Linked DNA regions of Solanum lycopersicum. Each later gene encodes a partner of the first gene's protein in a complex. Links are inferred from orthologs where the notes say so. Each region holds a gene or a part of one and is shown on either strand. Other genes may lie near its edges.

The links.
Region 2: AUGMIN subunit 4 (region 1) and NMP1 share a complex: the UniProt entries of both Arabidopsis thaliana proteins name them as parts of the augmin complex. The link is inferred for Solanum lycopersicum from reciprocal best matches to the Arabidopsis thaliana genes AUG4 and AUG7.

The regions. Positions count from the first base shown.
Region 1 is NC_090811.1:422,791-427,228, reverse strand, and holds the start of AUGMIN subunit 4, read left to right. Parts: upstream 1-1,520; 5' UTR 1,521-2,380; coding exon 2,381-2,509; intron 2,510-2,598; coding exon 2,599-2,646; intron 2,647-2,717; coding exon 2,718-2,843; intron 2,844-3,198; coding exon 3,199-3,531; intron 3,532-3,755; coding exon 3,756-3,855; intron 3,856-4,340; coding exon 4,341-4,386; intron 4,387-4,438. Other genes in the region: ATP synthase gamma chain, chloroplastic-like, read right to left, coding at 407-1,456. UniProt on the Arabidopsis thaliana protein: Involved in microtubules reorganization during spindle and phragmoplast development.
Region 2 is NC_090800.1:76,721,873-76,726,484, forward strand, and holds the start of NMP1 (nuclear matrix protein 1), read right to left. Parts: upstream 2,846-4,612; 5' UTR 2,727-2,845; coding exon 2,593-2,726; intron 2,498-2,592; coding exon 2,381-2,497; intron 2,022-2,380; coding exon 1,937-2,021; intron 1-1,936. UniProt on the Arabidopsis thaliana protein: Contributes to the assembly of the acentrosomal spindle and phragmoplast microtubule arrays as part of the augmin complex. Regulates the association of gamma-tubulin with the spindle and phragmoplast microtubules.

The DNA.
Region 1 (4,438 bases):
GACCATGAGATATTTTCTCTTCTTGGTTCAGTTATAGAATCCTGCAAGGCCGTTGCTGCAGCTAATTCCATCTCCAAGGTTCTGCATTTTTGTTAAAGAAGCAGCTCTTACTAGCTACTTATGTTGAAATATGGTTCTCACAAAATCTATGAATAATTAACAAGCATAAGTAACATACTGTACAGCATGATTATACTTGGACTCACTTCTTACATCCTTCTTCTAAAAAACAAATTATAAAAATATGGGATACTGAATAACCAATGGGAAAAAAAATCATAAATTTTTTTATTCATACATACACACATATAGAAAGAGATGATCTCTCCCTTTAAGACAGATTGGAACAAGGGATTATCAACTTAAAGCAATGGTTTTCTTAAACATCCTACAGAAATTTCAGCATCTATGTAATTAGTGCATCTGCTCCAGCAACAATTTCCAATATCTCACCTGTGATCTTCGCCTGCCTTTCCCGATTATAAGCAATAGAAAGGTTCCTCCTCAACTCAACAGCATTATCCGTTGCACTAGTCATTGCATTCATCCTAGCTGCAACCTCACTTGCAAATGACTCTTGAAGTGCCCTTAAAATCTGGCTATTCAAATATAATGGCATCAATGCATCAAGAATCTGAGCAGGATCTTGCTCATACTCTAAATTACGCAAAAATTCCCCCTTTTTCACCCTCAAATCCCTCACCACACTCAGTTTACCTTCCTTACTAGTCAACCTAAAAAACTCATCTTCATCAAAAAACTCCTCTCCTCTTAATGGGAGCAAAGTATGAATCACCGGATCAGATTTAATCAACGAAACAAATTTAGTGTACAAAAGCTCTACTTTATCAACTTGTTCACTAATAAACAAAGAAAAAACATCATCAGCTATAACCTGAGCCTCTTTAGCAGTCGGAAAACTCTCAAATCTATCAACAACAAATCTATCAACATTCCGAAAATAAGCATTACTCTTCTTACCAACACTAATCAAAGTATACCCAATTCCAAGACTCGTCAATTCCGCCATCCGGCTCTCTGCTTTCTTAAAAATCCCATTGTTAAAACCACCACAAAGACCTCTTTCACCTCCAATAACAACAAGGCCAACTTTCTTTACCGGTCTTATTTCTGTCAACGGTATATCTACCTCTTCAAACTGAAGCTGTTGGGTGATGTTGTACAACATATCAACAAGGGTTTCAGCAAAGGGTCGAGTACTGATGACTGCTTCTTGTGCTCGACGAATCTTAGCGGCTGCGACTAGTTTCATTGCTTCTGTAACTTTTTGGGTTTTGTTGATTGTGTCGATTCTTCCTCGTAGTTCACGAATACCACACTGAATTGAACGAAGGGGAAGTTGCAGGGATCGGAAACTAGGGTTTCTATTGGTTAGTTTAGGATCACAAATGGGAAAGTTGACGACATGACAAGTGAAAGAGAGTGAAGAAGCCATTGATTACAGACGACACACTGGAGAAATATACCCTACTTTAATTTGTAATTAGATGAGTTTTACTACTCCCTATTTAGTTGTCCTTCCATTTGACCATAAATTTTTCAAATTATTTTACAAATAATTTTTTTCATATAATTTATTATTTATTTGACAAATATTTCAAATTTTTAATATTAATTTTTAAGATTTGAGCCAAATCTCATTATTTGGAATTCTTTTTAAAATTAAAATTTTATTTCAAACTTTTATTTTTTATAAAAACGCCCTCTGTAATAGTTATTTGCATTATATTACATAATTCTTTTTACGTAAACACCAAAATAATAATATTCTATATTTAGTGAAAATTAAATAATGATATGATTGTTAATCATAAATTAGTAGAATCTACATTGTTTTATTGAATTTCTCACTTACAATTCCTTTTGTGAAAAATTCCTATATTTGAGGCAATAGAATGGATGTTCTTTGGCCAATTCTCTTTCACAGATTGTTTGTCGCACGTTTTGGTTTATTATAATTGTTTGTATTGATTTAGACAAATTATCTACTGAATTATTTACATTTTGTAGCAATTAGTTTGAGAAATACTTGAATTAGTTGCTGATGGCTGACAACGTTTATTCATTCAATTTTTGCATCAATTCTCCTTTCGTACTATTAAAGTTGATATTTTTACTAAATCTGCATTTTAAATAACTATGTTTGAGTATAACGGAAATATTTATTAGTAATACTATATTAATCCTAAAAATTAAAGAAGAAATAAAAAAATTATCCCTACCATTAATTTTTAATTTTGTTATGTTAGAAAAAACCAAAAATACTTTACTTTTAACAAAGTAAAAAACTCAAATAATATTTGAAGAATCAAAATCCAAGTCCAAAAAATTCAGTGATTTGAATTGAATCGCCGGAGAAATGGGAAGAGGTTTGGGTTCGCAAAACTTGCCGGCGGACGTCGCTCAGCTGATCGATCAGTTAGACCGCCATTGTTTAGCCCCTGATGGATCTCTCATCTCCAAATCCGCTCACTACGATCTCCAACTTGTATTTTCTAATCTCTCTACAATGCTTATTATTTGATCGTTAAGGTAAACCAAACACTCAAAAAAATGATTTATTTTTGGGCATTGCAGGCGAGAGAAGAGATGTCAAAGGAGAGACAACGATACTTGGAATCTTTGGTAGGATTTCTATTTTTGGGTTAACATTTTCATTTTTTTCCTGATTGCCTTTGTCTGGATAAACCTTATAGGCAATATACATTGAAGCAACTGCGATGGTAGAGGATTACCAGCAGGCCATTTCTGTGGCTAATCTTGGTGGTATGAGAGATGTCCAGGGTTTATACTCTCAATTGGGCTTGAAAAACCCTCCTCAGGTTCCACTTTTTTTCAGTTTATTCGATTTTATGGATGCTGTTTGGGTAAAAGGATTCTCTTTTTAGTTCACTGACATTACAGGCCTGCCTTGGGTATACGTATTTTGTGCACGATTTTTTACTAAAAGATTGCACGTACCGTCTAGTGCATGCTTATGCACACCCGTATAGATTGTGTACTGATAAACAAATTGATTATCAATAGATGAGAATGAATGATAAGTTTAAGGTGTTATGCATTGTACATTTTTTAGGCTCTGACGATAGAGTTCTGCAGACAAGTTTTTTTTTTTTTGGTTCATTGTTCAAATTGTTTTAAGTTTTCTGGGTGATTTTGGCTCTGGAATGACTTCAGGTTTATGAGGCTCTTGAGCATAGGATGGTTGTTGCAGAAGCAGCACAGAGATTGAGGCTTCCTCTTATCTCCAAAGACGGTGAGATTCACGAGGAGGAAATTGAAAAGTGGAGTACAATGTCAAGAAGTTCTTTTGATAGCACAAGCACCAGCATTACATTAAGCTCGAGCTCAAACTCAGCTTATCAAACCAATGCATCTGCAATTGGAGCTGTTCCTACTATTAGTACAACTGATTCAACAGAACCAGATGTTGGTGGTGTTCCCAATCGGTTCCTTGGAATTACACCTGCATATTTATGGCAAACTCAACTACATCAGATGTCATCAGTGGTATAATATACCTATTTGATTGACGTGATAACCTCATGGTCTTGTGGGGAAATCTTTTCTGTTTTCCAATTAATCTTCAATGAAAGTGTTGTAGTTGTCTTTTATTTGTGTACATTTATCGATGCTTTGATTGCTTGTTACCTACAAACGTGGAATCGCTATTCATCTGGTTATCAAGTGTTAGTTCTACACGCCCATAGATGCTTATATGTCTGCTATTGTAGGACGTGGCAGAATACCAGAGATTACTTTCACGGGAGATTGGTGGCCGGTTAGATGCTAAATGTGATAAGTTAGCTGATGCAGTTGCTATTGATGACATTGGTGAGTTTAAGTTGCTAATTTGTCTTCCTTTATCTTCCCTTGGTGCTTGGCCTTTCAATATGTTTGTTGGTTGCCGAATTTCTACTTGTTTTCCTCTTAAACAAAACCAGCGTTTATAAATAAGACCTGGACATCTATGTCAGTTTTATAATTAGCCCCTATATACATATTATTATTTGAATGGGTATAATATGTAGTCAATTTGATTGTAATGTTTCAAATTGTGGTGCAAATAGGAAAAATCTACTGCTGAGGTGCATAAGTTCTAGATTTACTTGTTATCCATTTACACAAAACTGTGCCCCATTGCTCCTCAGGGATTTCTTGGTTATAGTTTTTTCTTGATTTACTCATGTCAGTGTATTCTTCAGAGGCTGGTTGAGTAGTTCTCTTACTATTTAAGTAACAGAACTTTTAGAAGTTGTTGTTCTCATATCAAGATTTCTGTAAGAATACAAGTATATAACCTTACCTTGATTCTACAGATATATCTGCTGCCAGTCAAAATTCAGCTGCCAGACTTCCAGAGAGGTCTCTCCCTCTGAACTTATGTTTCTAAATTTATGATTTATCTGAATCATTT
Region 2 (4,612 bases), on another chromosome or scaffold:
ACTCACCTACAATCTTTTTCTTTGATTTTAGTATAACCTATTTTCTTTTGTTTCAATGATCTATTATTTGTTGTTGCTACTATTCTCTTCTTCGTTGTTTTTGGCATGCTTCTTCGCTACTGTATTTGCTTTACTTGCTTGATTTTTTTACTTTTATATGTTTTACTTGAGCCGAGGGTCTATCGGAAATAGTCTCCTTACCTTCACAAAATAGGGCTAAGGCTGCGTATGCATCACGCTCCCCAGACCCCACTTGTGAAATTACACGAGTATGTTGTTGTTGCTTTATATATGACAAATGACCAAAAAGGAATACCACTAAAATTTAATTAGATAGCAAATTTTGACAAAATATAAGCAGAACGTGCTGAAGGAGCCAGCAACAACAAGATCAATTTTTTTCATTTTCAGGAAACTAATCGATGTGAACATTGTTACGATGTTGTTCATTTTATCACATCACTAGGAGCTTGTCTTTCTCCACATGTTTGTGTCAATTAAGATAAAAATTATGGTGCTTACCTAGTCGTCAACCTCTCTTATTCAATTTACCAATACACACAGAAGCATGACACAAACGTAAAGCCACTGAGGTGTGTACACCAGATCATAGGAAGCCTAACAACCTTCTAATTGAGGGAGGATCTTAGACATTATTAGTTTTAAACATTGACACAATTCTAAGTATCAACCAAGAAATCCATAAGTTCTGTACTGCCTTTATCTCTCTCAAACACTGAAGAAAATATGACAAATAACAATGACTATTAAAAAACTTTTTATGCCAGTAGATGTCTAAAGGTTCTATAATCTATGATGATATTAAAATGGACAAAATCTTATAAGTGTCAGTATCTCCAGAGACGAAAGAAGTATAATAACCCGGCACTTCCTGTAACTGCAAACTGTACCTCAAAATGATCCAGCTTTAATAGTAGTGCTACTCCTATCAGTCCTCCATGAGCTAATTAAGAACAAAAGAACCGTAGTTTTGAACTTTTGAGACCATATGAAATGCTATATTGACCTGAGACGGCAGTCTTAAGTTTTAACCACCAAATCTAAGTCATCATCAGCATATAGAAAGGTTGAGAACTACACTACAAATAATAATGTGCTATGGTGATTGAGAAATCCAAATCGTTCATTATTATTTTTTACAACGGTGGTGCCAGGCCAGCACATGCCTTTAACTATTCCACAAGTACCTGCTACCTCCTACCATCATGAATGCCAAGTAACTCCGCCAGCAAGTGTTAGCTAGATCAGAGAAACTTCAAATTATTCATTTTATAAGGAGGGTAAAAAAAAATTAAATTCTCATTGCTTGCCTCCACGTATAGGTTGATAAATGAGAATCTTAGGCCCAGCCATAAGGGAATTCCAAGAATCAGAAACATTAAAACCAGACATGAAGGGTAATCCTAAGGATTTTGCCATGAGAACTTGTCTTCCAGACCTAATTATAGAACTGCAACTTTCTTTTTCAATTTATTAAAAAAATTAAAGTAATACAATCCTAGCGATTAACAGTGAAAATTGAGATGAAGAGTCAAAGGGGCAGTACTTAGCCTTCACCAAGGTAAGTAAAGTAAAACACTTTAAACAAAGGATCAATGTCATATTTATCTCTTTGTTTGAGTAGATCCAGTTAGTGTAACCTTTAATCAGAACTTATGTGACGTTTCATGTCATTACTCCATAACAAATTCTTCTAATATCCAAGTACAGTATGGCCTATGATCAATAGGGATCAGTGGCAAATTTCTCAACCAGGCTGATGATAACCAAATGGTAAAACTGCAGAAGATTGAAAGGTGCTTGACCAAATCATAACGAGAAAAAGGACAAAATATGATTCAACATTTACCAGTGATGCATAACATAAAATGAAGTATACTATGCGTCTACAAGGAAAAAAGTCAATAAGACGCACTTGGATTGCTTCTGGATCAACAGTAGTAGTTATGCCTAGAAACTTTGCAATCTCTGCTAAATCTGCCAAAAATACACAAATGTACCTGATCAAAACAGACATAAGAAGCAACATTCATACAAACAATTTCCTACAATTTCTCCAGATCTAAACCTAAACAAACATTCTCAAGGACTTCCTGATTATACTAATGAATGGTTTAATCAGCACTTTAATAAGTGAACCAAAACAAAGCTCTTGACTGATAATCAGAAACATAAACCCAGTTGATGTTAATGAAGTCATCTAACGAATATACGCATACTAAGATCAAAACTTCAGTAAGAACAATCAAGTAAGATGCATTGCATTCCCAAATAAATGCACCAGAACTAGAATTCTGACCAATTTCCAACGTCAATCCAAAAAGGGTTTAAGGGTATTGAATAAAAGCTCTAAACTGACCGATCAAAAAAGAAAAAGAAAATTGCTATACACTGAATGCGGGAAGTCTCCTCATCGCGATCCACAGCATCCCCTTGTAGATTTTGCTGAGAAAATGGCGACTTATCCCCTAATAACCTGTGAACTCAAACCAAAAAAGTAAAATTAAGAGAAATAATAAAGATCACCCATTTAGTGTTAATACTTGATTCTTATGAGAAAAGGGATTATACTTGAAGAAAAGCCATTCAAGAAGAGCGTATCGCTCCATGCCGGCAAAGAGAAGGGACTGAGCAGGAGCATTGGCTCTTGGGTAGTTCAATGTAGCCAATTTCTTCTGTATTTCTTCCATTTGTTTCGCTGCCATTCCCAAATTCGATCGTGTCCTTCGCAATTGGGCTTCAGAATTTACTGGCGAAAACTCAAAGACGAGAGAGAAAGAGTTTGAATTTGGTGAAGAAAGAAAAAGGATAGGAGAAATAGTGTTTTAAATTGAAGTTATGTTCTTAAATGAACTTTTGTGAAAGCAAAAAAAAAAATAAAAATCATTAACATTTGCACTCGTTATTTGCAAATTTTGAAATTTAATATTAGTAAAACAATATGAATTATATTTTTTTGAAATATATTATGTTTGTTTAGTAAAAATTTGATATATTGTATAATAAGTGTATTAAAATGTGTAATAAATATATTATCCATCATTAAAATTTGTATTGTATGTGAATTATAAAATTGATTATTGTGATATCTATTAAACTTGGATTATAAATGAACTAAGAGGGATCAAGTGAAGAAAAAAATGTTATTATTATAAATGGTAAATATTTTTTTAATCATATATACATATATAAAAGAAAACCTTCGACCCGCCTTTGTGGCACAACCTCAAACCAGAATTTCCTTTTAAGTTTATTTATTTCCAAAAGTAGCCTTCTCATTTCATGAAAAAATGCGACTTTTATGAAGAGTTGTGACTTTTATGAAGAATTACGACTTTTATGAAGAGTTGTAACTTTTATGAAGTATTACGACTTTTATGAAGAGTTGCGACTTTCATTAAAAGTTGAGACTTTTATGAAGAGATGTGATTTTTATGAAAGATTGTGACCTTTCGAAAGATCGCAACTTTTCCAAATAGTTGTAACCTTTCAGTAAAGGCATAATTAATAAACATTTGTGCACGGTATCCTTTGTTGTATATAAATAAATAGATTTCCTCTCACTTTAAAAAAAACGAAAATTCTAAACCTCCTCCTTCTCTTCTTCTTTTTCTTCTCAACTAAACATTTATGTACTTTGTTCCTATTGAGTGTCTCACTGATGATTGTTTATGTTATAAATCTTGGTATAATTTATTTAGTCATTAAATTATGTTTATGTCAGTAAGGATAAATGATAGGATGTAATAAATTTCATTTTCTTTACATTATTAATGTTTGTTACCACGTAATAATCTTGTATGCGAGATAATATAGTGTTTTAATTTTAATAACTAATAGATTTAAAATATTATTTTATAAATTCTCTGATATAAAGTTCCCGCACGAGGCGCGGATAACTTTACTAGTTATAGTATATTTATGTAAGTTTTTCATTATTTATTTTGTATTTGGTAATTGAATGTTATTTAGTTTTATAGTTTTATTTTATCCAACTGTTTTAGTATGAATTTTAAGATAAGTTAAGTTCCTCGAACGTTTATGTTAAACTAATATAAATTATCATAATTAAATAGTTTTATAATGCAAAAACACATATTAATTAGTCGAAGTAAAATATCTCTATATTAATATATATAATATGCATATATTAAATTGATATAAATATTTAATATATATAAAAAGAATACTATAATAAGTTTGATGTAATATTTAAGATGTGAACAAATTGAAATGAACACCAAAATTGTTTATGGCCAAAATTAGTGATTCAGATAGCATTAAATTTGTGTTGTAAAAATTAAGAGCACACAAAAAGAATGAACAAATATTATGTTCTGGATGCAAAGAGACTTGCTAATAAATATAATTATGACAATATGTGGTAACAAGTTATTGTTAAGTAAGGAATAAAAGAGTAGATTAATCACAATCTTATTTAAAAATGTCTTATTTCTTATAATAAAGTGATTTTCGGTCTTAAATTTTGGAGTGAGTACAATTATCACCTTTCGATTTGAACTGTATTGCTTATTACTAGACAATGTCATTAAAAATTATGTTAAAGTTATTTTACAAACAATAACCCTTA